4 linked regions of the Drosophila melanogaster genome follow. The protein of the gene in region 4 interacts with the protein of the main gene of each other region in a pairwise test. Each region holds a gene or a part of one and is shown on either strand. Other genes may lie near its edges. The genes, in order: TwdlM, CG30160, btsz and Hey.

Region 1 (7,130 bases), on a different chromosome or scaffold from region 4:
ACATACGAAGGCAATGAAGATTTATGCCCAATCGAAACCTGATTAGCCATAAAAACAAAGTCTAATCATTAATTTTATTAAGCTGACGATCACTTTTTTGTTGAAATCATTAACAAATAAGCGGTTCTGTATACATATTCAAGCAAATATAACAAAACAATCCGATTGAAACAGCCAAGAGATCGGTTATTTTTCTTTTATTTGTGCATAAATTATAAGCCAATTATGGGTGAATCACGATAGTTCGGAAAACGACTGGACTCGCAATCGGATCTTAGCTCGGACTCGGACTTCGATTCGGAATCTCATCTCAGTCGGCGGCACGATTGAAGCTGTCTTTTGCCCACAACAATGTGTTAAATGTGTTAAGAGCGAAATTATGTTAGCAGATTAACAGCATTCCGAAAACCCGATGGCCAATAGCCACTGGCCATTCGCGAGTCACGATTCGTGAGCGGAGATCGATGATCGCCGTGTTCCGCCAGAGGGACCCCAAAGTGACTAGACGGCTCAATTGACTAGATTTTCTAGTCTAATTTTAAACGTCGTCGCGTTGGCGGTATAAAAGGTAGATAATGAATGCTATATTATTCATTCGTCTAGAATATCTCGTAGGCATCGGGTCAATATGCGTGCCCTCATTATTCTAAGCATTGTGGCAGCGGCAAGTGCCGGTAGCTTGTCCGGATATAATTACGGACAAGGTGCGACAACCAGTATTGGGGGCAGTGGTGTATCCCCAGTCCCTGCACTGGCGGGACCAGTTAGCTATAGTGCCGCTCCCCAGGCGTCAGTTCACAAGGAGTTCTACAGCTTCTATGCCAACGATGACGACTTCGAGGATAAGGCTGCTCTCCAGAGGGCTCTTGCCTCGGTCAAGAAGAACATTCGCGTCATCTTCATCAAGTCGCCGGAGAACCGTGGCTACGAGAATGCCGTTTTGGCCCTGGCTAAACAGGCGGCCCAGCAGCAGACTGCCATATATGTGCTGCACAAACAGACTGATATCAACGAGCTGGCCCAGAAATTCAATGCCGTGCGCCAGAATGCCAACAAGAAGCCCGAGGTGCACTTCGTCAAGTACAGGACACCTGAGGATGCTGCCAATGCCCAGCGGGCAATCCAATCGCAGTACGATCAACTCGGCGGCTCCAGCCAGTCCATCAACGGTGGCGTGGCTAATGCCATCAACTTTGCATCCCAGGGAGCTGCTCCAGCACGCGTTACTCCTCAACAGGTGCCCCAGAGCAACTACCTACCCGCCAACATCCTGAGTCGCCTGCGTCACTAGAAAATCGATTGTTAAACGTTGTTTTCGAATAAAAGTTATCTAATTTGGTTATGTAAATTATTGTATTTTCATTTGGTTAATTCCTTTAAAAATTGACGAAAGCAACATAAGTATGCAACAGTTTTCAAAATAAATTGTATACCTATTTATAGCAGCGATAATCGAATAAAAACAGAAAGAAAGAAGAAAGAAGAAATAAAAATACTTGTTCAAAACCCAAGATCTCAGCAGCCATAAACTGGTATTAAATTTTGAATATGGTTAAAGTATAAACTAGTTCCTAAGAAATATATAAGTGCTTCTACTTATGTGCGCTTTCAAAGTTTGCAAGAAAATATTTCGCTGCAAATAAATCCGAACTTGCGAAGTTTCGTTCCCAATGAACTCAGCCTGCAAAGTTTTTTGGTTTTTACAAATGCACTACAACAAGTCAAATTGGTTTTAAAATTTAAGAATTGAATTTATTTAAGCATTAGTCAACAAAAACTACGATTTAATATCAGTCAAAAATCGCTGGCGTTTTCGATTCCGAAAGGAGTGAAACGAGCGACTTAGACGCGACGGAAGACCGAAGATGGCAGGTAGGAGTTGTCGGGGCTCTGGGCGGCGGCCTGACGCACTGGAGCGGCGGAAGCGAAGTTCAGGACGGGGGCAACACCACCGTTGTGGGCCTGGCTGGATCCTCCCAGCTGGTCGTACTGACCCTGGATGGCGCGCTGGGCGTTGGCAGCGTCCTCGGGAGTGCGGTACTTGACGAAGTGCACCTCGGGCTTGTTGTTGTTGTTGCTGCGGATGGCGTTCAGCTTGTTGGCCAGATCTCCAATATCGGCCTGCTTGTTCAGGACATAGATGGCGGTCTCCTGCTGGGCAGCCTGCTTGGCGAGGGCCAGGGCGGCGTTCTCCAGGCCACGGTTCTCGGGTCCCTTGATGAAGACAACGCGCAGGGCCTTGTTCAGGGCAGAGGACACACGCTCCAGCTGCTGGGGCTCATCGAAGTCCTGCTCGTTGGCGGTGAAGGTGAAGAACTCCTTCTCCAGCTCGGCGGTTGGGGCAGGGGCGTTGTAGGAGACGGGGGCACTGAGGGCGTCACCACCACCAATGCTTCCGATGCTGCCAATGCTTCCACCACCAATGCTGCTCAGACCACCCAGACCGGCACCGCTTCCGATGCTGGCTCCAATGGAACCACCACCAATGGATCCTCCGATGCTGCCGCCTCCGATGCTGCCGCCTCCGATGCTGCCGCCTCCGATGCTGCCTCCTCCGATGCTGCCTCCTCCGATGGAGCCACCTCCAATGCTGCCACTTCCAGGAGCAAAGGACAGTCCGGAGCTGGAGTGTCCCACGGGCTGGTAGTTGTAGCCGAGCTTATCGGCGCAGGCGACTGCCACCAAGCACATAACCTGGAGATAAAGAAAACAGCATTGTAATCCTTGGTATCCTTTTGGAGTATTTCGTCGGCGATCGAACGTATACTTACAATGAAGGCACGCATTTTGAATTTAGTTCTTTGACTTTGACCACTTGGTTGTGTCTGACGTTTGCATCACCGAAAGGTCCAATATTTATACGAAAACCAACGATCGGTGTCACTAAACTGCGCTCAAGTTCATGCAGACTTTACCATCGTTGTATTTGTTGGCTCCGCAGCATTTTTTGGTAACTTCTTCGGCAGCTTTTGTCTCTTGAAATGCTATCCACCTTCGAAAAACGAAGCTTGTGCGATAAAACAATGGCCAAGCCGACGTGAACAAAGCGCATCGATACCTGGCCGCCCTATTCTTGCAAATGTTGGCGTCGACATTATGCTAATTCCACGATCCCTCAGTCCAAGTCGTAGTACCATCATCGAAAATTTTTAGGCACACGACCCTACCCGTCAAGTTGTAATCCAATAGAGCAGGCTCTCGGCGGAGGAAACGGCTGAAAACTCGTTTAGCAAAAGCCACTACTATAAATGGTCATGCTTTCAGTAAATGAAATGATTTTCTTCATATTTTGTATGCTAAAACATTTAGCGGAGCATCCAAACGAGTTCGAAAACGACTCGGTTTTTCTACACTTTTTAGTTGATCCAGCCGCATATTTCTAGCTGGGAATCCCCAGCGATTATTGCGTCCCCCTTTGGTATTTGGAATATTGTATATGGTATATGGTATGGTATGGTGTATGGTGTATGGTGTATGGAACTGGCTGCTCTAGGGTTTGGCCATATAAAACCCGAACACTGGACTGTGGACTGTGGTAGGGTTGAAAAACAATGGATCTGAAATGGATAGAAATCAATTTTCGCCAGCCTTTTTGCGCATCCATTCATTCATCCGTCCATCTATCCGACGGCCCATCTGTCCATTTGTCCGGAGCTCGTCGCTTGGCCATTTAACCTGTGGCAAAAACACGGCTTCGCAAAATAGAAGCCATAAAGCTAACAACCGTTGCGACCTTGAGGTTTTTTACTGTTGACCAGCACCCGAAGCTATTCGGAATTCGGCGGTAATCAGCTGGCGCCAGGCGACCATTTAATCTGATCAGCGATTATCACGTTTTTCATCATGGTTTATTGATATCATAAAAATTATGGTTTTTTATTTTATTTCGGCAAAGTTTTCGAGCAGAAGGGGGGTAGAGGCAGCAGCAAATCCGCTGAAAACTGATTTGATTTGCATAATTTAGGAGAAATACCCAAGATCCATATTTAAGATAGCCGAACCGATTTGCAAATCAATAGTGGCGAATGCCAATCGCGGTTATGACTAATATATATATTGATTGATATCACGGATAACTATAGCGATGAGTAACTCGAAGATGGGGTCAGTTAGGAAATCCGCTAAGACATCACAACCATGATATCATTTTCAGTGACGGACACACACAAGTTCTATATGGTTCTATATCTAATGATGCTATATGATGCCCCCCATTCCACGCTGGCCGGGATCCAATTAAGATTCACATTCGAAGCAATAACCTAAAGTCAAAAACAATTTGTCTTGGCTTTGTGTGCGGCCCCACCTTTTGCCCACTGCCAACTGTTGCGGCTCGCCGATTGGCCAGCATCTCAGCCAAGTTAGTCGCTGGTGGCAATGTCATATGCAAACTAATCAAATGTAAGCATAATAAAACAACCCAGCCACAATTTCAAGGTCTCGGGCGCCACACGCACATAAAAGATGCACGCAGCAGCGACATAAAAAGTGGTCAAAACGCGGGAAAAGAGTTTCCAGCACGAAATCGAAGATAATAGCGGTCGGACGACGTTGGCGTATCAATAAATAAATAAAAAAAAAACGGCTCAAGCGGACAAAAAACATCTACGGGAGGGAATTTCTGGCACCACTTTATGTAAATGGCCTTTTGGGTCAATCGATCTATTTACAAAATCTGACACTGTTTATTATTTTATCCATTATTTTTAGTCTTTCTCTCTTCGAGACAACAAGACTGCCCCTATATTATTTTATTGCCATTGTACTGGCACCCACCAGAATGTCGAAACGAATAAAATTGTGCATTTAATTTATTCGGCTATCACCTGGCTGGTGTCAAAACCGGGCGGTGCCTTTCAGGTGCAAAAATCCAATCAAATCTGTCGCCTCACCATAAATTGGAGCATTAGTAATTTCCTTAAATCATAAGCTTTATTTACGAACGACAAATTTGCCAGTTAAACCCCAGTTAAACGAGTTTGTTTGCTTCTAGCCTTTCTTTTGCAAAAATGTTTGGAGCTGCCGGCTTTTCGAACTCTTTTACGAGCAGACCGTTTCTATTCTTCTCTAGATACGAGTTTTAGTTGCCAAAATTATTTCCGCATGCCTGGCGACAAATAAAAAACAAAAAATGTTACCCAAAAAGCTGACTGGCTTGCCGCAAAATCGTTTCTCTTTTGCAAAAGAAATATATGCAAATATATTAAATCTGATATGCAAATAGCCGATATCAATTATTTCAAGCGCAAAAACCCGAACCAAACCATGGAAACTAAACTAAAGCTTATGCTAAAAAAACGCAATATTTTAAAAAACCTATCCGAGAGTGCTGAAAGGAATAAATCAAATCAAATTTCGCCGAGCTGGCCAATTTGTTTGGCAAATTGTGTTAGCGATATAAATATTTTGTATTGACAATCAAACGGCAACGACGACAGATGCTGATTATTATTTTGCGTGTTTATGTATTTTTTGCTTGCAACCAGCTAAATGGCCGAGATTATTTATTAAAAAGTTAGCCATACAAGAGATTTCTGTTTGTGCACATCAGCCGAAAATGGCATAAGAAATCAACAATAGGAAAAAATATAGAAAATATTAAAAAAATATGCTCTATGCTTTATTTCTACATGGATAGAGCGATAAGAGCGGCAAATAAATTTGCGGCTTTTTGCGCGATCCTTGGCACCCACAAGAAGGCAATAAATTATTTTCGAGGTCTCCTTAGTACGCATTCTGCGCAGTAAAAAACACATTTTTGTCTGCCTTATAGTGCATATTGTCGTCGACGCTTGAGCTCTCCATTTTATTTTAATTGCAGGCCTGCCTCTGCCTAATGCCAGCTTAATGTCCCAGTTTTCAGGATCCCGGACTCTTTACGAGCAACAGCACGGTCCCAGTGCAAATTGTCGTTTAATTTATTAAGCAGCGACTATGCCGGCATTTGATATGAATATGTGTGTGCAAAACACTAATTACAGATACACCACGCCCACAGCGAACCGGGCGCAGCCAACATGCATATATATAGTAATTAGAAAATAAGAACACATAGGCTTAAATATAGCGCCCGTTCACAACTCGCTGGTTGACATAAATTTGGGCCAACGCTGCGTATACGTAATGAAAGCAGTTTCACAACGGAATGAATCTTTAGTAGAATGACTAGGGAAAATCAAGTATGGAGCGAGGCCAGCCAGCTACTTTTATTCGTTAAAGTTGTCCAAACTGGTTGATCCAACTATCACCTGGCTGACCTGGGCTTTCCCAGTCCCGTCTCGAAATTTATCGGCAACTTGAACTTGAAGATGTCGCCATGCCAATTTGCATTTCTAATGAAAACGTCACCAGAACTCGACCCTCTGCGGTGGTCGAGCATAAGGCTTTGTCTTCGGGCCGAGAGGGAATTAACATATTTACATAATACCTACTTTGTAGTAGGTGCACCCCGTTGAGTGGTTGTTGTGTGAAATATGCTCAGATGAGTGGGCTAGCGCTCTTGCTTAATTGAGGCAAACAATTTCTCATTTGGGATGGGAGTGGGTTATGCCTTAATGTTTTCTTGTTACTTGCCGGAGGCCAAGTACATTTCGGCAATTGTCTAATGTTTCTACAGGACAAAACGAGTGTTTGCCTGCTGACAACAATTGGGATTTTTAGCATGCTCGCACTCGAGTTGTTAAATATTTTTGCAAGTAATTTCATCAGCACGTTGGGAATTTGATTTTATGGCATGCTTGACTTAAACGAAGGTCTGAGTGCGTATACTTGATATGCTTTAAGAATGGCTTTAGCTTTGACTTTCGGTTTCACTTCGCCAGGGGCTGTCATATTGGATATTCCTGGGCGCCACTCGACATCCTCCGGGCCCCGCCCACCATTCAGCGAAGCCGCCCCTTTATGCGCTGCACATGACAATGAGCAGGAATCGTGGCCCATGCTGGGATATCGCGCATTGCCCGCACTTGTCACGTCCGAGTCAATGGGCATGGGCTTCGGGATTGGGAACTGGGCGGGGTCACGGGGTCAGAGGTCGGGGATTGGCGGTTGGGGGTTACCGCTGTTCCGAGACCGGGGAGCGCGTTAAGTGATGCCGTGTTGTTCCGTTAAAAGTGACTTTAGCACGTGTG
Region 2 (6,923 bases), 990 kb from region 4:
AAGACGAGTAATGGTAAATGTTGTAGCGGTATATATTAATATTGGCATTGCTCCAAAAAGAGTATAAAGAATAACATAAGTAGTAACTGATAAATAGGCGAAATGTAGACGTATATATTAATATTGGCACGGCTCGAAAAACAGTTTGTTATATGGTAACATAAGTAGACATATGTAGATCCTTTGGCCTTTGGCTTGTTCCTCACAAGTTTAGGCGTACACCTGGCGACCTGCGTTCTGGCTGCGCATGCAGTTGGTCAGGGCGCCGGCGATGAGGAAGACGACCAGGTCGAAGATGCAGAGGCCGAGGCCGGACCAGCGGATGATGTCCATGTTGTCGTTCCAGAACTCCTCGAACTTGGCGCTGCAGCCGGGCCTCGACTGGTAGACCGAGGGGGTGTTGCATGTGGCCTGGCGGTCCAGGTAGCCGCAGCAGGTTCCGGGAACCGAAAGGCCGATGTTGTTGTAGTTGGTATAGCTCGTATCACCGCAGCAGCCGAAGGTTTCCTCAAGAACGCCCATGGCAGTGTAGTCATGGGAGTCCCAGAGCAAGTTAACCAGATTGGACATATCGCCCAGGAAGGCAGATCGGTTCACGAACACCCAGCACGTAAGCACCAGTTGCAGGATAAAGAGCACAAAAACCATGCTGGTGTACTGCAAAGCATTCAACTTCAATTAGCTCGAATTCCTTGGGATATGCTCTTCACGCAAACTTACCGCGCCGGTCATGCAGACACTCTGCCGAAAAATGCCGTAGCACCCGAAGAAGGACACCACGAAGATGAGGCCTCCCAGGACGGTGACGCAGATGGGGATGGTGTTCGGGTCCGTCCCACTCCCCGCGACATCGAAGCGGCTCAGATCGGACAGCATGATCGAGCCCAACACGATCAGTAGGATGCCAACGATCTGGAAGTATTCGGAGTATTACTAGAAGGCATCTCTGGTTGCCTAACAGTTTTATGGTCATAAGCATACCACATTATAATGAATGTTTTATGGACTTCTAATTATCCGGGAATATCTATGTACTGAAAACTTGTCCGCAAACTGGACTAAGATATGAGCTTTTAAAATAGCCTTCAGGATGTCGGTGACCAAGATTTACTTAAATTTCTTCATTTGATTCTTTAAGTTGACAAAGTGATTAACAAAGTGAATAATCAAGTCTTATACTTGCATACAAATTAATGAAATTCACAATCAGACGGATATGGCTAGTTTAAAAACGTAGCTGATAAAAAAAACAAACGTTAATCACCTTTATCTTGTTTTTGGCATAATTCTTAAGGTGAAAAATGTATCTTTTAGCTGCGTTAATACTGCGAGTAACTACACATTTATTTGGATAAATAATAAATCATTTGTAAATAATAGTTTGTTGTATTTCCTTAGTTTATTCTCTAAATGATCTTTTATTCACTCCAACTTAGCCTTGCTAAAATGTGAACTTGTGTGCATGTGTGCCCCCTTTGAAGCTCATTTTGGGCTCATTACTTATATTACAAAACACTGATAATGTCAATCAACTGATAAAATTCTGTATGTCCGTCCACACTTGCATTACAGATAGATATTATTATCTATGCCAGCACATTTATATGAATAATAGTGTTAAACCTTGTGACTCAAAGACAATCGAAAGGAAGCGACCGATGCGTAATTTATGGATTTTCAAATTTCATTTCACTTGTTTTAAATAATACATGTTCGATATTTGTTGCACAAATATTTATTGCATATGACTTGATTAATGAATGACAGAAGTCAGCTAGAAGGTCTTATATGCAAATAAATAAACATCTACAGTTTGATAAATAAATTAACATAATTAATGGACATTTTTTGGAAGTTCATTATAACACAAGTAATTGGAGAGTATGAAGTTATCCATAATTGGAACCTATTTGGGATCTGCACCCAGTAGTGTTTGGTCTATTGTTACACGTCTCATTACATTATTAATTCCTTTTACTTAGATACTCAACCGACAAGCACTTACCAAAAACACGATATTGACAATATATAAAATAAAGTTGACTATTCCCGATAGACAACCCATTTTGAAAGTATATAGTTTGCTCCTGTATTTAGTAGAATTAAATAAACACTATTGTTTTATCCAAAGGAGTTGTCGGTGTCTCTGATTTTATCGCGCACTCGCGTCGTTTACTGTCGTTCGATTGGACTGCTCCTCCAGATGGGCTACTGTTTTTAAATTGGCCAACAGACACGGGCGCTATCGGAGGAAAGATACGCAAGTGCCTGTTATCATAATCATGGCCGAAACGAAAAATAGATAATGGGCACTGGGCGGCGGGCGGAGATCGATAGCCATTGCCATATGGAGGTGATTCACCACTACTGAGGGCATTCGATCTCGGAAACGCGGCACTCGGCTAACAGGCCGATAAGGACATACTTTTTGGAAAAACATCAACCTGTCTTGATTAGATAGACGGCAGCCAGAGGTAGACAGCGAATAAGCAATAATATTTCATTGGGCTTAACCTATTCTGGTTTATTTACGGTGAGTGAGTGAGTGAGGAATTCGTGTGTTGGATTTATGCTATGAACTGGGCTACGTCTAAGGATTGTATCTGACTTCGGCTCTAGCGCTTCCTCATCGCGCTGGCCAGGCAGCACGACATGATGAAGATGCCCAGCTCGAAGAGGGCGATGATCAGACTGCTCCATCGAATCAGGTCCGTATTGGAGGCCCAGAAATCGACGAACTCCTGCCGGCAGCCAGGTCGCTGGCTGTAGATCTCCGCTTCGCACACCTTGGTGCGATCCTTGTAGCCGCAGCAGGAGCTGGGCACGGTTTCATACTGTTGGTATCCCGTGTTGCCACAGCAAGAGAACTGCAATGGAATAGATACGTAAATATCCGGAAAAAACTAATGACATCTGATGGTGAATTTCGATAAACTTACGGCCAACTGGAGGGCATCCATGGGGTATCCCTGGGCGGCATTGTTCTCATCCCACGCCTTGTCCACTGCCTTGCCCATGCTGGACAGGAACTTGTCGTTGGCCGCGAAGATCCAGATGGAGAGGGCCAGTTGCAGGCCGAACAGAATCAGCATGCAGATGGCGTACTGAAAGGAATGCCAAGTCATTTAGAATCCAATTTCGGTCAGTGGGTGATTTCCGAGTGCTTACGATGGTGGTGCAGCAGGCGTTCTCGCGAATGGTGCCGCAGCATCCGAAGAAGGCCACTACGAAGGTGACACTTCCGATGACGATAATGCAGATCGGGATGGTCTGGGTGTTAACGCCTCCGTCGAAGGCCGTAAAGTTGCCCATCGTGGAGAGCATGATGGAGCCCACCACAATGAGCAGGATGCCACCGGCCACGAACACCAGGTTGAGCAAGTACAGCAGGTACTTGAACATCGCGGATAGACAGTTCATGGTGCTGGGTTCTGTTCGGGTTTCTCGTTGGCTAGCTGGATAATCCGTTCGTTCGATGTGACGATGTTCGTCTAACTGAATGGGCCCTCGGACAGAACGCGGCTATTAAAGCTTACTCGGAGTCCTCATCTTATCGGCTGCGCTCTTATCTCGGCCATAAAATTCCGTATGTACTTGTGCTGGAAGCTCCGATGCCCATGTACTTGTACTTGGTGAATCGCTTTGCACCCACGAGATACCAGATCATTGTGGTGGTCCGAACCTGGGAAATTACATCCTTGGCGCAATGATTCATTCAACGAATGGTAGGTGCAAACTGCTGGTGGCGGAATTTTATCTAGCCCTCGTGCGATTCCATCTTGGGGGCGTTAGATCGTTCATAAGATGAATCATTCACACCCTCCACACCTTGCCTTATCACCAGTCAAGAGTACGCGGTGCACGCTGACTCACATATTACGTTGCTTGGAGTCCGTTTCCCCGTGAGTCCCCGATCTTATCGCCTAGATTTATGTACTATCAATCGAGCAATAAACCTTTTAGCGAGTGCACTCCCAGCCTAACTTCAACAAGATTTTGGCAACTATTGGGGTTTCCACGGCGGAATAATTTCCCATTGACATTCACAAAACGGCTATGTGCCCTTCATAGATAAAATAGCTCAATGGAGATAAGATTTCGTCTGAGCCCTAAAAAGCTAACTAACTAAATATAGTCTTCTGATAGGTTAGTTCTACGGAAATATGTCAATAGAGCCAATGATTGATAATGATCTGTAATCAAAGTGTACTTGTTGGTTTCGGCCAACTCTATTTATACTTATTACTTTGCAGATTAAAACGTTATCGCGAATGGCCGAAATCCTCCCGTGGCAATTTAGAAAAATAGGTGCTTTAGGGATTAAGTCGAATTGCAAACAATGTAAGCTTTCCCATTAAGACAAAGACTGAACTCTTTTCGTAAATTGTAAATAAATTTCTCCGTTTATTGCAATCTCCAGGAGTATAAGTTATTTTGTACAGTTAAACATATTAGCACATTCAGTGTAACTTTGAACAAACGATCTTACAAAAGTGATCGTTACGCATTCGTCATTGGATTTGCTGCATTTGCTGCTTACGCTTGAGATTATGCAAATTTGAATGGCCATCTGTATCAGGTAAATATTCGTAAAATTGGGCAACATAATTCGTACTTTCGGTTTCAATTAAAATTAGTGCAAGGCCTTAGTCCTTTGTCGATTAATATTCCGCACGGCGTCTATAGTTCCGAATGCTGTTCGCCAAGCAACAGGCGAAAACGAATCCCACAAACTGAAAGCAAACAGAGTATGGTATATTGGAAGATATACATGTAGGTGTAAATCTCATAACGCTTATGGTAAAATAACAAACTAAACTGCATTGCTACGAATTATGATTTACATTACTTAGTACTTTTTGGTTATCCCCAAGAAATCACAATGGAAGGTAGGTAACATGAACCCATCCATCATATTTTCGAAATTCACATGGGGAAGCACCTAGATTCGATGATCGATTTCGTTCGATTGCGTTACTCTGGACAATAACTTACTTCGATGGCGGCGATGACCAGACCGGCATACTTGATGATGTCGCTGTTCCTGTCCCAGAACTCAACGAAGGTGACCTTGCATCCCCGCCGGTAGACGGTCTCCCAGCGGCAGTTGTTGGTGTCGCTGCAGCAGGAGGGAGGGAACTTGCCCTGGTAGGCGTAGTCGGTGTAGCCACTGCGTCCGCAGCATTTCATCTGCGGGAGCGGCAGAAAGTCAGTTGAAGGCGGGTCACATGTCCTTGGAAGTCCCTAAATACTTACGCTGATCTGAATCGCGTCCATGTAGTCGGAACGACTGGTGCGATGGTTCCAGGCCTTCTCGACCACGTCGCCCATGATCTCCAGGTACTTGTCCTTCTGCACCCACATGTAGATCACCAAAGCCAGTTGGCCAATCATCAGGACGAACAGCAAGATCGAGTACTGCCACAAAGAATACATTTTGAATTGCAAGATGAATGGCACGATGCAGGATCAGTACTCTACCGTCATGGACATGCAGTAGGATTCCCGAATGGCTCCGCAGCAGCCGAACCAGGAAATCAGCAGGATGATGGTGCCCAGGATGATCATCGTTACGGGCACCTGCTGGGTTCGCAGGGCTTCCGCGAAGTCATCCATGTTACGGACTTTGCTGAACAGCAGAGCTCCGAATACGATCAGCAATATGCCGCATATCTGAGGAAGGGAAATGTTGAGTTTATCAATCCTGAGCCAACCAGGGTTGTCTAATCTAACTAAACTTGAATTCTCAAGCCCTCAGATTTTGACAGAAATTGGTCAAAAACAATCACTTCATATCCGTTTTATATTGGACTTACTAATCATGTAATAAATTAATACAGTTCTAAGTTATTTATGATTTAATTTGATCAAATGATTTGACAAGATTTGCGATACCAAATCGCCTGAAGAATATTCATCCATATAAATGCTGGCTGGGATATCATTAGCTTTTTTGTTTCATTAAAAAGCTTGTAGGCGTTAAAAGCTCATGCCTGTTGTTCGACAAATAATATGCACTGCGAGAAACTGGAACTACTTCCAGGGACATGCATTTCAATATTTGCGATATGGCGAAATCACCTGCTTTATTATTAAAACTACTTTCTATTATTGCCCAGTTCTTCGGCGATTTTCGTTTATAGAGTTTCAGATTGGCTATTTGCATGGCTATCACAAGCTTATCTCTTATCAATCCGATTCGCTTCGTTAATTAAGATTATGCATAAAAGCGCCTGGCCATCGACGATAACTATTAAAAACATATTTACTTTGGCTTTGATTGTATCAGTTGACGTAGTCATTAGATTAGATCCACCCCCAGCCAAACTATAGTTCATAAATTCGTAGGATTGCGCCAAACTGCAGCATGACTCAGCCGCCGAGCTCAGCGGTTCGTGGGATCAGAATAGTTAGCATCGCATCCGATCAGAAGAGAGCGACATTTCGACACTGGTCCACAATTATAATAATAACCAGTCCACCCACTCGCATTCGTCTGGCATTTCTAGATCGCCCTCCCTCGGAAAATTGAGTTCAAGTGTACCGCCAACGACCCCCGTGTTTCCATTCCATGATGTGCGTGTGTAGATGATATTTCGTTGTTTCCGAGTTTTGGCTCGTCGTCTCACAATGGGAGCAAGTTCACATTAAATTAAGTCAACTATTTTTGGGTGAGACCCCCTTCCCCCCCCCCCCCCCCCTCTTGAACCATTACACAACTTTCCACTGAAGTGGCGGCAGACTTTACACACAGACAAAATATTTGTATGTTTCCATGTTGGTTCTTAAGTTAATTGCAGCTACTTTAAATTATCAAAAAGGTTGGAGAACTGCGGATTGGAACTCTTGAACAAATCAAATGACCTATTTCAAGTAGATAGGTCATCCATCTCGTTTACCGATTTCCCATCAACAAAAAATGG
Region 3 (8,382 bases), on a different chromosome or scaffold from region 4:
TGCTATAAATAAACAATTATTTTTAATGCAAAGCCAGCGAATGCGACCGCAGCAGACACTATCCATGGTATGTCGCCATAGAGAATAATAATGGTAAGTAAATAAATAAAATTATTGTGGTCATTTAGCAGACGCACTGGAATAGTGAAAATAAAGTTACACGTAGTGTTTGGTTTAACTGTAATAATAATAACAATAATATCTGCTTATATTTAAGGTAATTAAGGTTTTTTAGCAGAGGTATTAAAAGCCTTTTTTATTTTAACTTACTGGACTTCTTATGATCCTTTCATAATTATTAGTTAGTAAGTGGATGTAAGTGACATTTGCCATACAGACCTGGTTGAGTTACAATAAGCGCTTAACAAATAGATTACAAAGTTGCTTTAGTTTTATCGGTTAACCCTTGTAACCGACGACATTTCGTAAGATTTGAACTTCTACCTTTAGATAGCTAATGTATCCGTTGGCTGTGCGAATCAATAATTAAATGGTTAAGTGCAGCTCAAGCTTATTCATCTGTGGCTTACTGGCCCCAGTCAGATACGAGATACACTCACGTACACCAGATAGAGACAATTCAATTTTAGCCAGCTTATGGCCATTGTTATGGCCATTATATCTAGCTAACATTTCAACCGCTGACCGTTGGCGTTGGCGAAACAAAATGAAATAAAACGCTCCACACTCGACTTGACTTGGGCTGGCATTCAATAAGAATTTCAGTCCATTCGGGGACATATTGCAGCCAGCTGATGCTACGAAAAATAAAAAATATTGAAAAATAGAGAAAGAAAAGTGTGCGCAATAATAATTGTAACAGCAACTGCCAACAAATCAATAACAACTCACACTTTGGTCCACTTCGAAGCTAATGCCCTACAAAATTGTTACGATCTGTGGGCCTTGAGCTAAAAAACAAGGAATGAGAATCCAACACATTGCTACTTATTTTCTGAACTGATTTCAATGATTCTGATTCATTTATTCTAAAAAGTTCATTGAAACTCTTAAAGTTTTCAATTGCATTTCCGTTGACCGCCTTCGATGTGGGAATTCTTTTAGAAACAAAAAACTTACAGTGGCGGTCAGAAAAATGTTACTTTAAATTTATGAAATATATATATATTTAAATTTAAATAGAATGCTGTATATGTCAACTTTCTGTGCGAAATCTAGGCTAGTAACTACACTTTTACTAAAGTCAACTAAACTATTATTGTTCTAAATAATCGTATCAATGACTGTTTAAATCAGCCCCATTTTGCGGCTTGTTTACAGATTTTTCCGTCACATTCACAAAAGTGTTTCACAGCCATTTTGGCCATTGAATTTGTCAAGCTCAAAAAACGCGAAAACAAAACAAAGTCGGCGGCAACCATTGACAGACTTGTTTTGGCCAGATTTTTGTTTCTGATTATGTGTGTATTTTGCTTGACTGCCGGGCGGCTCAATTGCGCTGCTTAATGTGATTTGACCAATTTGGGTTCTGTGACCAAAGCCAGAGCGTTAATTTGCCTATAATTATTCTGGCATGTCTATGAGATAATTGCACCATCGGATCTGTCGGATTATAATGAACGAATCGTGGCCAATCTCGCTTTGAAATTAAAGTCAGTAGCTAGTCAAGGGTATTCGATGAACCTTTAACCACGTTCTATGCCCTTACTTTCATAAGTTTATCTTGCGAGGCATCTTCACTTGGGTTCACTTTTGATGACACTCGTTAAAAGACAGTTAACCCGATTTGGATTTAGCTTGATTACTGTTTTCGCGACCAGCTTATTCTGATGTGGGTTTATCACTGGCCAGACATCTAACCGGCCAAAAGCCCAACCCAAAGCCAAGCCAAGAAATGTCTCACATAAAGCTAACTTACTCTGTTGTGGCAGCTGTTTTCATTTCGATAAAAATGCAAATACATCGAAGAGCGGAGAGAAAGAAAAATATCGTTATTAAACTCAATAACTGTCACCGTTTTTTGCATAAATTATAATAAGTTTCTGCGGCTGGAAAAATGCTCAGCCGAACTTCTAAAAGATATTCCATGTTTGCAGCGGAAATAGAAAAAGGCCGACAAGCAAACAAGATGGAAAATTAAGGAAGCTGGCGAAATGATAATGATAAATGTTTTTCGGACCGACGAAAGGGGGCGTAGCTTGGAATGAATATTTATGAATGATTAATGAGGGAAGAGGCGTGGCCCCCCCAAAAGGTGGCCCAAAGTCAGAGTTGATGGAAAATCTCCAATTACCTCGTGCAGCGGCCAGGGTTCACAGCTCCCTGGTCAATGCACCGCAACTTATCTGGAAAACTGTCAAGCTCCTTATCCACAATTCCACGGCATACACATGACATAATGCCCAAATATTTGGATCTTGGGCACATAAATAAGTTCAGCAAGTGTGCTTTAATTGTACGGCGCATCTGATAAGCGCTCGCAACTTAGCTCATTTCAACCTTATCGCCGAGCAGAAGACAAAAGTAAATGTACGTTATATGTACGTTTATTCCACAACTAGCATGTGAAAAAACCATTAGCATTCTGAAAAAAAAAAAAATCAGTGTCAAGTCGAAAGTCAAGAATTTTTGAAATTTATTATGGCCATGCCGCAAAGTGCTAATTAAACTCATCTGGCTGCCGACAGACAGAAATGCGAGATACATACGTCTTACTTAGTGAGGGCAACTTTTCCACACAGGTGACTCAAGTTCTTGTTAAACGTGTCTCTTGAAATCAGCTAATGCGATTGGAGTGTGGGAGGAATACCTAATGCAACTACATGTATTTTTAGGATAAAGTGCCATTAGATTTAAACGAGACTTTATTTGTAGTGTTAGGTGTTTGGAATGGGCCTTAAACACCTTTTCGTTGCATTAAAAATGTATTATTTAAATCAAATGGTGTAAATATATAAGGAAATTTGTTGGTATTATGATTAATGATAGTATAATAATCTCTTTTCAGTTCGCTTTGCTCAACACGATCTTTTACGAGCTAAACACACCCTCTTCACACCTACAAGATACTTTAGTACGTGCTGAACCACTTATCTTAAGTATCTTTATCACATATGGATGGTTTGTTTATTTAAATGAATAGGTATTTTAAAAACCTCTCGGAAACACGTTTTTCACCTCATCATAGGACGGAAATTAGAACAAATATTTACCATAGGCCAAATTAAATTAAATTATTAAATTACATATGTATATCTTTAGTTGCTTTTTTTTGTTGCTATGAAGTAACACTGTGAAATCATATGATTAGGCGCGTTGAGTACGTTTCGTATCCAATCATTTTGCTTTGTGGTTTTAAACCAGCATTTAAAGTATCTGTGGAATATGATTAATACGTGCCTTTGTCTGTCACGCTTAGGGAAATCTTTTCAGTCCACATCATTGACAAGCTTGAAGACTTTTGTTTGAGAACGCCCTCAGATTTACTTGGATACTTTTTATAAATAGGTGTGTCTTTATTGAATTGAGGGTCATGGAATTTTGACAATTAAATATTAAGCTTCTGATTAACACTTTAATGGTTTTCTAAGCCATTGCATCCCCCCGTGTCGCTTTATAAATATTACTTTTAAGGTATGAGAAATAAAGCGGAACTTTTGAAATGCATCTATTTTGTGCGATATTCAGAGGGCAAGTGTTACATAGTCTCTTTTCTATTGACAACATTGACGACTATTGTTCGAGAACGCCCTCAAATCACTTCACACCTACAAGATACACTGCTGTATCCAACAGATACCTGTCCTATTTGTCATTGTTGCTGCGGTGAATTAGTCATGCCAGGCCCGAGTTGAAAGCAAATGTTATTGCTCCTCAAACTCGTAATTCCCGCATCGCCATGGTCGCGTTGCGAATCGAGCTCCAGTTCCAAACGTAAATTGAACTTGGTAATGGTAATGGTGGGGAATCTTCGGCGATGTCACGGCGGCTGCTATGCAAACATCAAAAAGTCTCAGACGTGCATAAGAATTAAGCTGAGCTTGCAGCAAGAAAAGGTAAACAACAAGACCAGACGAGGGCTGGTTGGGGAAAAATAAAGCAGAAAACAGAAAAGTATCTGCAAGATACAAGTTCCTCGGGCGGAGTGGGTGCATCCACACACGCGTGAGCTGTGTGTTCACAATGTGCCCCTCAAGAGACACATATATAGTACATATACTCTTACAGCTACAGATATAAAAACAGAAACGACGGGTCGAAATGTCCGGGGAAAAAACAAGGAGACAGTTAAGTATCTTGTACCTTTGCGGTGACGCTGATTCTTTGTTCTTTGACTCCGCAGCTTAATTAAATTTATAAACCGTTAAAATAATCAGAGCCCGGTTGCGGATTCCTCCTGTGCAAGCCCCATCTTTAAGCTGTGAAGAAAGCAATTACAATCGCTTGTATAACCAAAGAGAGAAAGCTTCTACCCATGTTGATGTGTGCAGTTTAAAGAAAATATACACACTTTTATATCAAAGTCCAGGAGATAACGGATTAAATCAGAAAAACTTCGCGTTCCTGAGAACCAAAGTCTATGATTCCAAAGGGATCACTTATATTTGGTTCAATTGTTCTGCCATGATTGAACCATATAACCATATAAAGATATGAGTATGTAGACGTTTGTAAATACCCATAGCTCGAACAGAACTTTCTTAAGCCCAGATTAAATTTGTTCTTTGATTATTATATTCTTTACCTTAGTGGTTGCGAGATACTTTTGTATCCAGTGCCGCCTGACCGCTTGTGTTCGTAGAAATGGCTTGTGCAAACTTTGGAGATCCGCCAAATTCTGCGTTGTTTGGCTTAGAAATTATCCAATTCGTTTTCGGAGTTCGCTGGGTTCGTTGCTTTCGTTGCTGCTACTTTGCATACACCGCCGTTCGATGGCGATTACAGTCGCTGCGTGCGGTATCTTCGAGATACATACGTTTGGTATTGGTGTGTATATAATTCTGATATCAGACCGAATAAAAGACACACAAAGAGGAGCACTTCGGAGGCACAGGTAGACGGAATGAAATCACACAAATCTTAAACCGGCAATCTCATCGCACTCACAGATACACACGCACACATGTATCTTATGTTTCAACAGCGGAACGGAACGACGACGTTCGCTCGGTTCGAGACGCGTTCGTTGACTAAAGTCAGTTTGCCAAGTCGATCGGTGGGATTTGAGATTGAAACGCGGCCAGCGGTTGAAAGCAACAGGTTGAAAGCGGCTCTTTCTCCCTCTCTCTCTCCCTCTCTCTGATGGTCAGAAACCGAGATACTGAGATACTCGGCTACTCAGATACTCAGATATTGCTACCTGAGGCGCCCTTCTCGCATTATCATTAGGCCGAATGCTCGACGGCGACGTCGCCCGCTATCAGTTTAATTACGTATGAGAAAGCCACTCGGAAAAGCGCATTGTTCTCGTTCTCACTCTCCCTCGGTTTTTGATGCCCGGATTCGCGTGAATTGCACTTACTTCCCAAACTGGATGCATTTAGGTGCATATTTATACACTGCCCGTCGGCAATTTGATCCCTGCAAGGGTATATGCGCTAATAAAGTAAAGTAAATTCGGGAGAAGCTGAACTTTTGATTTTCAAAATTAGTTAGGTCTTAAGGTGAATTCAAAAGCTATCATGTCATATACTTAAGTGGTGGAACTTTTTTAGGTTCCAATGAAATATATTGTCTTAAATTCCTTATCATATCAGTCAGCTAGAAAGAAATGAACAAATTTGAGCACATAAAATACATTCAATGATTCTCTGTAGATAAGCCTATTAGTGCAAAAATATGTCAAAGCAAAGCCATTTAAACTTCTTGTTTGTATGCATAATTGAGTTTATAATATTAATAGGCAAACATGTACCCACAAAATGATAGCAAAACTATTTGCTTTCGTTTGTTATTAAATTAAATTACTGAAGATATTACTTATCGTAAACATTGCGTGCTATGTCTAATATCCTTAAGCTATTTGATATTTAAAACCTTTTGGCATGCCATAAATTATCTTGAAATGATCGGACTACATATTTGGATTGCATTGCGATAAAGTTGCGTTCATATTCGCAGTTTTTTAAGTGAATTAAAGTTTTTGATGTCGGCAAAAAGTTCTTCTCCGGTTTTCATTCGCAGAGTGTCCAATATCCGCCTACATATGAGTGCGATTTCACTCTTTCCCGTCCACAAACGTGTGAATTCGTGCAGCAAACATTTTCACATGCCCCCGAGTGCAGTGGAATTTGGAGTGCAGTTACAACCATAACAATGGCCACTAATAGTTGACATGCGGCACTGACAAATATCATAGTTGTTGAATAGCATTTTAAGAGTATATTTAATTAATGCTGGCCATGCGCTTTGGGAATGCCTACTGGCCCCAGGGCCATTGTTTGCGTTACAAAACATCTGGCATATGTGGCGTTAATTACAAGTAGAATTGCCCCTGGCACCCCACCTCAATTTACATCTAAATTGCAGGTGCTCCAGGACACCCGTGTCAGGTGATGTGTAATCAAAGCCGCTGCCACAGAATCCAACGCAGTTCTTGCTCCTTCGAGCCGGTCAATGGACTCGGTGTCACCTAATGAGTCGATCCCAGGCGATGAGTGGGCGTTAAGCGGCCAATTAAGTCGGCTGATGACCAAACCCATAAAGCCAGGTGTAATAAAAGTATACAGCGATGCCAGCCATGGTAACTGAGGGCTTTCACAGGCCTCTTTCGCTGACTGAGCCAAAGTTTTCAGTTCACTTTTTGATGGCCATCACCGGGAAGTGGAAGTTCGCCCGCCAGATGAGCAGCGATTCGCTGGCGTAGCCTAGCAGCAAGATTATAATTAAAAGTAATCAACGACATTATCAAGCCAAATGCTAAGGCCAGAACGCGAAGCATAAAGCCAAGGCTAAGCAACGGCAAAAGGCGAAAATCCAGAAATTCTGCGGCGCAACAAGTCAAAGTAGTTGGGCCCTCGGCCGTGGAGCTCTGTCACTATACACATAAAAAAATGGGAGTGTTTTGCATTTATTAAAGCACATTAAAGTAATGGTGTATATATTCAGCAATGCAGAGATGATTTTTTTTATCGTGCTTTAGACTGAACACTTTTTGCGGTGAGATAACTTTTTGCTGACCTGCTTTCCTTGAGATAGGTTTAATCACTGTTATCAGATTAAGTTTTATCACAGTCTAGATTTTATTTCAATGGCAGAAATAATGAGTGTACATTTTATGCAATGAAATGCACTTTAATTAATGACATCTAAAAAAATAGCTTTTAAAGCAATGTAAGCTACAGAAAGTATTTTATTCTTAAACGAATATGTAAAAACATTCAGAAGAACTTCTGTGCAGCTTTCGCGTCGAATATCGGAGCGTTTCGAATGCGGCCAACAAAACATTTAATTAAGTTCCCTCTGCCGGCGAATGATGAACGAGCGCTCCATTAGATTTAATTTACTCAACAAGTATTACCAACATTATCAGTGTTATTAGCTAGATGAATGTGTATTCCCCGGTCCCCCATTCCGTTCCTTCATTTGTGCCAGTATTCGTGCCAGTATTTGCTCACTGTGCAAGTGTGTTTGTTAGCGGAAATGAAGTAAGTGTGCTGATGCTGCCATCTTGGGGCCACTGCATTTAAATTTCACAATAAATGTATCTTAAAGAGGAATTCTTAGTCTGGGATTTCCAGACTTCCCGAAATTAAAAGCTATGTATAATAATATGCTTAATGTTAAAATGGTTTTATATATAGTTCTTATAGCAAAGATGTAAAGGCACCAAGGATAACTTAACCAGTTAAACCTTCAATTAAATTAAAGTTGTAATTTCCATAAATCTGTAGTAGCACAATATTACAAGTTCGTTCATTGTCTCATTACAAGTACAAGTATTTCCTAGTATATTATTAAATATAATGTATATATACGATGGTAATAAGTGCAGAATAAACGGTCACATAATGAGGTTTTTTTGCATAATCCAAACTTTAGGTGTGGGGCTACTACAGCCCCTTTGACATTTGGCATTTTACATTTCTATAGAACGGTGGACTTAGTTGGCTTAATGGGAATGCTTTCATCAATTGCTGCCCCAACTGGATCGATGTCCACCCACGGGTTGAAGGCATAAAGGACATCGCAGGACCTGCCACATGTGACCTGCTGGGCGACAGGCACTTCCTTTCGCCTTGCGCCCGCTGCCAATCTCCAATGGCGCTTTTCAATTTAGCTATTTCCGCCCCAACAGTGGCCAACATGATTAAGCAATCAGAGGCGACTGTAAGGCGCAACACCCGCCAAATGAGCCAGGCCAACCAACGAAAGGAATCGAATGGGGAGGGCGCCAACTTTGTTGCCGGCGGAAGGGATTTA
Region 4 (8,692 bases):
GTGTATAAAATACAATTTATGTAAAAATGCCAAATGGATACGAATTTTGGGGCATCCCTACTTGTCAGGTGGCAGATATCCAAATCGCATTCGCGCCTGCTCGTACAAAACGAAGGTGATAATCGTATTGGGTGACACTCGTATCAGGGCCGGAATGAATCCCTTGTAGAAGGCCAATGGGCCCTGTTTGGCGGTACTCAGAAAAGCACCTCCGATCCCGGAGAACTCCCCCGGCTGGGCGTTCATGAAAGTCGTCTTGATCACATCGAGCGGCTGCGTTATCACCACGGCAATGCATCCAGCTATCGTGGATGTGGCAAAGTGCAGTGGTACTCCCTCTCCTGCCCCCGTTGCGATCTTGAGCATCTGCTTTACTTGGTCGTAGGCTGCATTCGTTCCGATGGTCAGCAGGACTGCCCTGGAAACGGCCGGCACTGTGCCGCGGAAGAGACTGGACACGCCCTCCTCTTTGTAGATGCGGAAAAGGCCGTCGAAAACGTGCTTGTAGCTGCGGAATTCGTCTTAATTATATGACTCGTACGTATGGGGGGAAGAAATTTGCTGTCCTAATGACTAATTATCAATAGCAAACCAAAAAAGCACGTGGAGATGAAGACAAACGAACAGATGGACAAAGTCTGGGAGATCTATGGTACAGGAGCCCCCGGTAGTACTCACTTACGTCGCTTCTCCTCCGGCAACTTGACGTCGTTCTGGAGTCGCACTGTGACCACGTCCCCGGGTACACCCACAATCCCACCGACGATTCCCGCAAAGGTGGCCAGGGCCATCTTGGAACTAACTTTTTGCGTGTCGACGTAGTCCTTACCGGCCTCGTACAAGGCGAAGCGAGTGGTGGTATAGGTCAGCTGGCGAAACCAGGAGGCCGAAATGCCATTGTAAAAGCCCAAGATTCCGCTCCGCTCGTGTATGCCTTTAAGGATCTCCCCCACGGTCTTCCGGTCCGCTTGGGATTGGGTCTGCAGCTGTACCTTGATGAGATCAATCGGATGGGTGCCGGTGACTGCGATTGCAGCGCAAACCCCTCCAAACCACCAGCGCGGGAGGCGCCTCGAACTGTCTTCTCCCATAGACCGAACTTAATTTCTTGGAATTTTTTTTTAGAAACCCTAAGCTATCTGACGTGTAAAACTAAAAAGAATTCGGTAAATTTTTCGCTGCAACGAATTGTTCCCATTTAGCTAAGGATAATTCAGCCGCTATGACGGCGAACTGGTAGTCCTCGCAGTGACAAAGCGCACCTCAAGAATGTTCGTTAAAATTAATATTTTCTCTGATAATCCAATAATAGCACTAATCAAAGTATGCGTCATTGATATACCTCAAATTTTTGAATGTGGATCGTCACTACTTGTTTAAACTTTTTTGATTGTTTTTAATAATTATACCCGTTACTCGTGGATTATATATATTCTTATATATTATATATTATATATATATTTTTGATCGGAATCAATACCTGATTCAATCTGGCCATGTCCGTCTGTCCGTCTGTATGAACGTCGAGATTTCACGAAATATAACAACTAGAAAGGCTTTCCTGATCCGAATATCAATTATCAAGCGAGTTTCAACATATTCACTTATACACTCATGCGTTTATTTACAATAGATTCACAAAGTGTTCAAAGTTATAGTTATCATAGGGTATAACTTAAGCTTAAAGGCTTACGGGACTAGCTAATCTCACTGCGTTGTTTCTCCATTTTTTTCTCTCTGTGTAGGATGCGAAACTTAAGACTATCACACTTGGTCTGCTCTGACTAGAGGTTGAAATATCCCTTCTGAGGCTTATGCCCACAATCAATAGGCCATCTCGGCGCCCCAAGGACGATAGGGCTTTGCTCCGTTGGGAGTGGCGTACTGCAGCACACTGGAGTTGTTGTAGTCCTGGCCTGGCAGTCCGCTGACCGGATACTGAGGAGCAGCACTATAGCTAAGGCTATCGGAACCTATGGCCGCTGGACGATTGCTGTTGGTCAGCTCTATGTAGGTGGGAACCTGCTGCTCGGAATGCACTGCGCTGTGGTCGTGGGTATAGTGTTGCTGCTGCGTCGGCTGAGGTGTTGTCTGCGTCCGTTGCTGTTGCTGCTGATGCTGCTGCTGTTGGTGTTGCTGCTGCTGCTGCTGTTGCTGCTGCTGTTGCTGCTGCTGTTGGCTGCTGCTGTCAGAGTGGAGATCATGGCTGGGCAGCGATTCAGTTACGGCACTTCCACTTGTCCGCGAGACACTGGTGCGTCCTCCCAGTTGCTGAGCCTGCTGAGAGGGCGAGGCACTTAGTGTGGGGTAGCTGGACACATAGGCACCCGGGTTGGCTGGCGCCGCATAGCTCTGGTAGGGAGCAGCCGCACAGTTTGGCTGATAGCCGGAGGAGCTGGGAGCAGCCGGAGACCAGCCACCCGGACTGGCGCAGCTCTTGGCCGACAGTTCGCGCTGCTGCACAAAGTACTGGAGGTGGGACATAAGGCGCAGGCGCAGAGGATCCTGAATGTCCATGCCCTCGATGGTGACCAAATAGCGGGCCACCTCTGCGGCGCACTCGCGGAACCCAATGATATGGTAGTCCATGGCCACTCGCTGCGGATCATAGCTAAGCGAGTCGAGAGCTGCAACAAGATACGAGGAGGTGGAGAAAGTCAATAAGCTGTCTAATCCCAGTTCAGGCAAACAATTAAAATAGCTGTTCCCACGCGACGAGCATAAAGAACAACCCCCATGTCCTTCGGCGGGATGGCTTGTTGTGAGGTGGCTATCGGGGGGTGAAAGCCCGCGCCTGGCTACAAGGTTGCCATCGTGGTGGTGCCGCTACTGAGCGTGGGAAGCCCCGAGATTCGAGATTCACTTGAGCGCTAGGCTGGCGCTGGTGGTGGTGGTCCTGCTTTGCCTACGGCAATCATAATTTTCCCACAATTCGACCCTGTTCGGGACAACAGGTCAGGATTGTTTACCCAGATTTGTGATAATTTGCCGCATATTGTATTTAATATCGTTACTCAATTGTTTCCCACAGCGGCTTGCGTTTAGGGATTCTGCTTGCAGTTTTTCCCATTCCAATTTTTTATAATGTATTGAAGTTCATATGTATGTCAGATATGCCTTGATTAATTAGTGCGCTAAATGGGCCCTAATGTAATATTAACTGTCGAAATAAGAAATTACTTTCTTTACACTTTACTTCTTTTAGTTAACCAACTTAGTTGGCTGCCCAAGTTAACCCTCTATTTGCTCCTATTGTGATTAATGACCCATAGAAGCGTTTAACTTCAGTGAGGAGGTCTGTGGTGCAGCTAGCCTATTTGCTTTTTAAAACCTCTTTAAGCTAGCTCAAGTGGGCTTGGTAAACTTACTTTTAGACTGCAGACTCTTGAGATGCTCCACGGTCAGCTGAAGGATTTCGGCCTTCTCCAGCTTGGCGGATCCCTGCTTCTCGTAGGCGGAGGGCACCAGGCGCTTGAGTTCGGTGAGCGAGGAGTTGATCCGATCCCGCCGCTTCTTCTCGATCACTCCGCGTCGCTTCTTGCGGCTCATCAGTTGGCAGCTGCCCGGCTCACTGGGCGAGATTCTAATGGAACAGAGGAAAGGGTTTCTATTAGCTATGGATTGAAGTTAATGATAGATTCTTAATCTTAATATCTTAATCTTTCATAGACTGAAAAACACTCTATGGTGTTACTAAAAAAACCTCTAAGTTACAGAACATTTTAAAATCTATCTTTTCTTAAAACCCTATAGTTTAGTGATTTATATTTTGATGGTTTATCAGCAACTTTGCGTTAAGTGGAGTTATCCATGACTTCGATTCACTAAGTAAATATCATGACGCACTATTTTTTTTAGCAACATAAAACGTTTGCACATCGCATGGTATTTTCAAAGGTTTCATTTTACAAGACAACTCCTAACTTGGGAACTGCGAATAGCTTTTTGTGCACTAAATTGAAAAACAAATTTTGATAAGAAGTCACGAGTACGCACTGTTCCTTGGAGGACTCCTCGGAGTAGAGATCGTCGCAGTCGCTCTCGGAAAGCGTCCGCTTCAGGCTGCCGATGCCGTGGCTATGGCCCTGGCTATGCCCGTGGCTGTGGTTGCTGTGGGCGCTGTGGTGGCTCTGCGGCGGCGGCACCCAGTGGCTCTGGGGTGTGGTGGCGGTGGCGCCGGGCATGACCACGCCGGGTCCGGCGGCGTAGCCCCAGTGATGCAGCGATGGCGCATTGACGTGCATGTTGTGATCCATTGTGTGTGGTGACCAGTGTTTACTCGCTGCTCCTGCGCACTTGACACTACTGTGTTGATGTTGCTGTTGCTGAGCTGTAGCTTTGCGTGCTGCTAGTTGCAGAGGCAGATGCAGTTGGCGGCTAGACCGGGCTGGCGGAGCTAGTTTGAGCACGTGACTTATCGTGTGCGCGAACGGCGTTCGACTGATTCTGTAGCACACGTCGAGCGGACGACCTGCCCTCCGCTGCCGCCGCTCAACCCCTTTTTACCGCCTGCGGCAGCCGTCCAATAAGATGCAGCAGCAACCACCCCCTGGCAACGCGCAGCGCGTGCTTGCCGAGATTGGGGTAGGAAACGGGAAGCAAACATATTCGCCGCGCGGCGATCGCCGCCAAGTGAGCAAGTGAGAGTGTGCGACAAGGAGCGACCAGCGCCGGCAAATGAGCAAGCCTCTGTCATCGATTCATCCGATTGTATCGCCCGACCATCTGATATAGCCTTTCAGCAGCCTCTAAAGCATCTAAAGCATCTAAAGCATCTGCAGCACGGCCTTTAATCGGCGCCGTGGGCGACAAACTGGCGGCGTCCGCCGTCCACTTGTTTGCCGCTGGAGCGGCTGCACCCGTCCATGGAACTCAAACTGGAGCACGCGCCGGTCGTGTGGCATCGCGTGGCGCCGGGTAAAGCCCCAACAAGTGCAACAGCCGCCGTTGACCTCTATCTGTGCAGTGGGACGCGTGCTGGTGGGTGGCCCACACAGTTCTAGGTCAGTGCCGGCTCAAGGTTGCGGCATCCCGGGTCCGGAATGGGAACGGGAACATCCACAGGTGCAGAAGCAGGAGCAGGAGACGAGATAACAACGACTGCGGCAGCAGGTGACCGAAGTTGACCTAGAAATTGCCCGAGGTAAAATCGACTTGTTTACCTAGAAATATGCTAATGCGGAAATAATTCACTTTAATGTTATCGAAAGCAGCGTTTCATCACAAAGGGATATAAGGAACTTGGATGGCGACGGTAAAACGTAAATATGTTGTACAATTTTACGAAAAAGCAGACGTGAGCTTTATCTTTTTCTTTATCTTTTTGATTTGCCATTATAAACTCTTAGATGCGCTTTGTCACTGCATTTCGAATATTCACATGATTTAATCCATTCTAAATTTTTTGCTGAATTGGCTAATCTTATAACTTCCTTAATTGTTCCTTGTAATTGTATGAACGCTGAGCTCTCGGGAACTATAAAAGCATGAATGTAAAACTAGTTACTAGGATTAAGAGCTAGATTGTTACAGAAGATTGCAACGCCTACTCTTAAGGACACAAACCGGCTAAAACTGCCACGTCCATACTTTTGCAAAATTGTCATATTTTTTAAAAATATTTTGGCCACTCCCAGTCTAATGGCCACAAGCTGTCAATCTAAAACTTTTGAAAAATGTTTTGATATTTTTGATTTCACTATTTTTTTTGACAGCTTTGATCGCTATTCCACCAAAATTTGTCAGTTTTTCTAATGATTTTACAAGCTGAGATAGTTAACATCGAAATTAACGTTCTGTCTGTTTTGGTTAATGTTTCCCCATTAACTTTAATGTAATATATTTTGACAGTATTGTGTTCATAAATTCAATATAACAAGCTGATCAATGTCAATATTACCTATAAATTTTATTATGATAAACTATTTCATCCAAAATTTCCCATTATTTCTTATATCAGCCGCACGGAATGTGTGTTTAAAGCTAGCAGTAGATTAAAAACAATTAAAATGCGAATGAAAAACAGTATACGGTGGAGCTGATATATTTACATATATATGTACGTTGTGGTTTGACATAACTTTCCCTAATAAAAACTATACTTGAATTATCGTTATGCAAAAATAATTCTTCTGTAGATATCTATGTTAAAATGTTCATTTCAACTCCTTTGTCCTGTCACCCTAAAGAATCCCAATATTGCTATATGAATCCCTATACTATTGTATATACTTTTATATCCCTTTACTATTATATGTTGCAATTTCGCATATAACTGGAAATATCATTAGTTATTCTCCCCCACAAAATGATTTAGTGTAGCATTTCTCCCATTTTCTCGATTAATTTCGATGGTCGAGGCGTAAGCTTGACTATAATGGAGCCCCGTATCAATTTCAAAAACGTACATCAAAATCGAAAATTATAAAAAGTGCTTTTCATTTGATTCGGCATGCTGTCGCTCAGGTTTCGAGTGCGGCAAGCAGCAAAGTGAAAATGCCTAATGTCTAATGGCCAATGCCAGTGGCAGTGCCAGCGTGGGACAAACTCGCTCCGAATCGCCGGAACCCACCCCAAATCAAGTGGATGAATAGTGGCGGGCAAGTTGCACCACCGACAACGGGACGAACCCACGAAATCGCAGCCGTGGCTCGTGGGAAAGCCAAAGGTCTACGGATTCTCACGAGCGTCCAGCACACGTGCGGGTCGTGCGCCGGAATGGATCGATGGATGGATGGGTGGGCGATGAACTTACTCCCACCCACGGGGCACAGGGCATTCGCATTCGTATTCGCATTCTGAAGTGCATTACTCAAGGTATGGAGCCAAAGGTATGGCGCCGCACACACATACACACTTTATTGTTAATGGATATTCTCGAAAACAACTTTCTATAATGAAAATTGCGGTCTACCGACTCAAATACTCGATTACATATATGTATAATATACTCGTATGTAGGTAATTCTCACAAGACTGGTTTTCGTGCTCTATCGCTGGACGCAAAGTGGAGGTTACAAAGCCGCCGAGTGTCCGTTTCCGGTCTCAGAAGCTCCTAAGGCAAAGATTGCAGTTGTTTCCGCCTACTGCATTGTCGTGTCGGTGCAGCTCCAGGCTGAGGGGCTCCGTGTCGTCCACCCAGGTCTCCAGGGTGCAGGAGCTGGACTGGTGGCTGGACTTTTGCGACTGGGAGAGGGATCTGGTGGCCGCCGCCGCCTGCCGCCACCTGGCTTCGAAGTCATCCCAGCGATCGCAGGCGTCGTCGTCCAGGGAGTTCCCGTTGATGTCCCACTTAACAATGGGGAAGTCGTCGTGCGGTGGCTCCATGATCACCACGCTGTGGTAGTTGCCCTCCAGCTTGGAGCCCAGGCTGATACTGCAGGGATGGTAGCGGCTGGGCGTGGGAATCCTTTGCTGCACTTGTTGTTTCCTAGGAGTTGCCTGCTGCAGCACTTGCTGTTTCCGCGGAGTAGCCTGCTGCTGCTGCTGCTGCTCTGGCTGCTCCTCCTTCTGTTCCTCCAGCTGCAGATCCAGACTGGAATTGGAGGGCGTGTGCCGCAGGTAGCGTACATTCGCCTTGTATTTCACCCGCTCGAACTCGATGGTCGTTAGTGGTGTGTCCAACACCTCGTAGTTGCCGCAGCTCATCATGTATTTGGTGCGCAGGTCATGCTTGGCCGCTGGCTGCAGTTCCTCCACCTCCACCTCCTTGGAGGTGGCCAAGTCCAAGGCCTGGTTGCACTCGCTCAGCTGCAGCTCTTCGTAGATGGCCTCCGTCACCGGACAGTTGCTGTTCACATCCAGCTCCAGATCTCGCTGCAGGTTGAGCTCCTCCTCCACCTCCTCGTCGTCCCCGTCCTCCTCGTCCAGCCGCTGGACAAAGAGCTGCTTTGAAGTCGATATCTTGCGCAGGAACTGCAAGGACAGAAATCGATACGGATAAACATAGCGTTAGCGGCCAACGCGGCGTATGATTAACGTGCCGAAAGCACGGGCATGCGAACTTTACTGAACATTCTCATGCGGCGCGGGTCGCCATCGATTTCCTATAGATGGCCACCCATTTGGGCGCCACGCGAGGACTAACCTTCAGACAGGACTTCTTGGTGCGCCTCAGCAAGTGCGACATGCTGACGATGTCTTTGTGTCGCTGTCGCTTTGTACCTCCCTAATTGAACGCTGCAATTACAGTGGCTATTGTTGCCCTTCCATCGGAGTTGCGTCCGTTAGCCGGGGCATTTGCCTCATCGCCGCTGCAACCCGTTGGGCTATCCAAACAAAACTGAACGAGGAAGCGCCGCGGCGAACACTCGCAGGTGGAGCAAGGACGCCCCATGCGGCGCTCCTGCCCAGTGACTCATCCTCGCGACAGCGGCTCGAGTGCACGCAGAAAAATGAAATGTTTGAAGTGGTAAAAGTTGAAAATTTAACTTTAGAAAACCCTAAACACATTGGAATCATGCTATTTAATTCCATTAAATCATTTAAAGATATTTGTAAGCATTGTTTTAAATAAAGAACCTTTAAATGGTATATAGTTGATCTATCGATTAGCTTAAACTCAGTTTTAAGTCTGAAATATTCTGAAATTCTATTGTGTGGTTTTGCCCAGTGTACTGGGGAGCAGTGCAAGCTGTGCCAGCTGAGAGCCTCTGCCGGCACAGGCGCAGTATGATCCTGGCGCACAGATTGG

Evidence for each region.
Region 1: the proteins of Hey (region 4) and TwdlM interact in a two-hybrid assay, tested with the Drosophila melanogaster proteins (one large-scale study listed by BioGRID).
Region 2: the proteins of Hey (region 4) and CG30160 interact in a two-hybrid assay, tested with the Drosophila melanogaster proteins (one large-scale study listed by BioGRID).
Region 3: the proteins of Hey (region 4) and btsz interact in a two-hybrid assay, tested with the Drosophila melanogaster proteins (one large-scale study listed by BioGRID).

What each region holds. Positions count from the first base shown.
Region 1 is NT_033777.3:26,614,823-26,621,952, reverse strand, and holds TwdlM (TweedleM), read right to left. Parts: upstream 2,836-7,130; 5' UTR 2,787-2,835; coding exon 2,772-2,786; intron 2,695-2,771; coding exon 1,843-2,694; 3' UTR 1,729-1,842; downstream 1-1,728. Other genes in the region: TwdlP (TweedleP), read left to right, coding at 629-1,291.
Region 2 is NT_033778.4:7,001,715-7,008,637, reverse strand, and holds CG30160 (uncharacterized protein), read right to left. Parts: upstream 3,482-6,923; 5' UTR 3,421-3,481; coding exon 3,169-3,420; intron 3,105-3,168; coding exon 2,940-3,104; intron 2,868-2,939; coding exon 2,616-2,867; 3' UTR 2,502-2,615; downstream 1-2,501. Other genes in the region: Tsp42Ec (tetraspanin 42Ec), read right to left, coding at 211-657, 721-912, 2,006-2,065; Tsp42Ea (tetraspanin 42Ea), read right to left, coding at 4,662-4,733, 4,996-5,190, 5,257-5,418, 5,482-5,673.
Region 3 is NT_033777.3:14,848,768-14,857,149, forward strand, and holds the start of btsz (bitesize), read right to left. Parts: upstream 5,153-8,382; 5' UTR 4,706-5,152; intron 1-4,705.
Region 4 is NT_033778.4:7,993,837-8,002,528, forward strand, and holds Hey (Hairy/E(spl)-related with YRPW motif), read right to left. Parts: upstream 4,443-8,692; 5' UTR 4,257-4,442; coding exon 3,997-4,256; intron 3,584-3,996; coding exon 3,369-3,583; intron 2,628-3,368; coding exon 1,825-2,627; 3' UTR 1,602-1,824; downstream 1-1,601. Other genes in the region: Dic3 (dicarboxylate carrier 3), read right to left, coding at 58-508, 679-1,091; CG11191 (uncharacterized protein), read right to left, coding at 7,045-7,914, 8,087-8,128. UniProt on the Drosophila melanogaster protein: Transcriptional repressor which acts as a downstream effector of Notch signaling.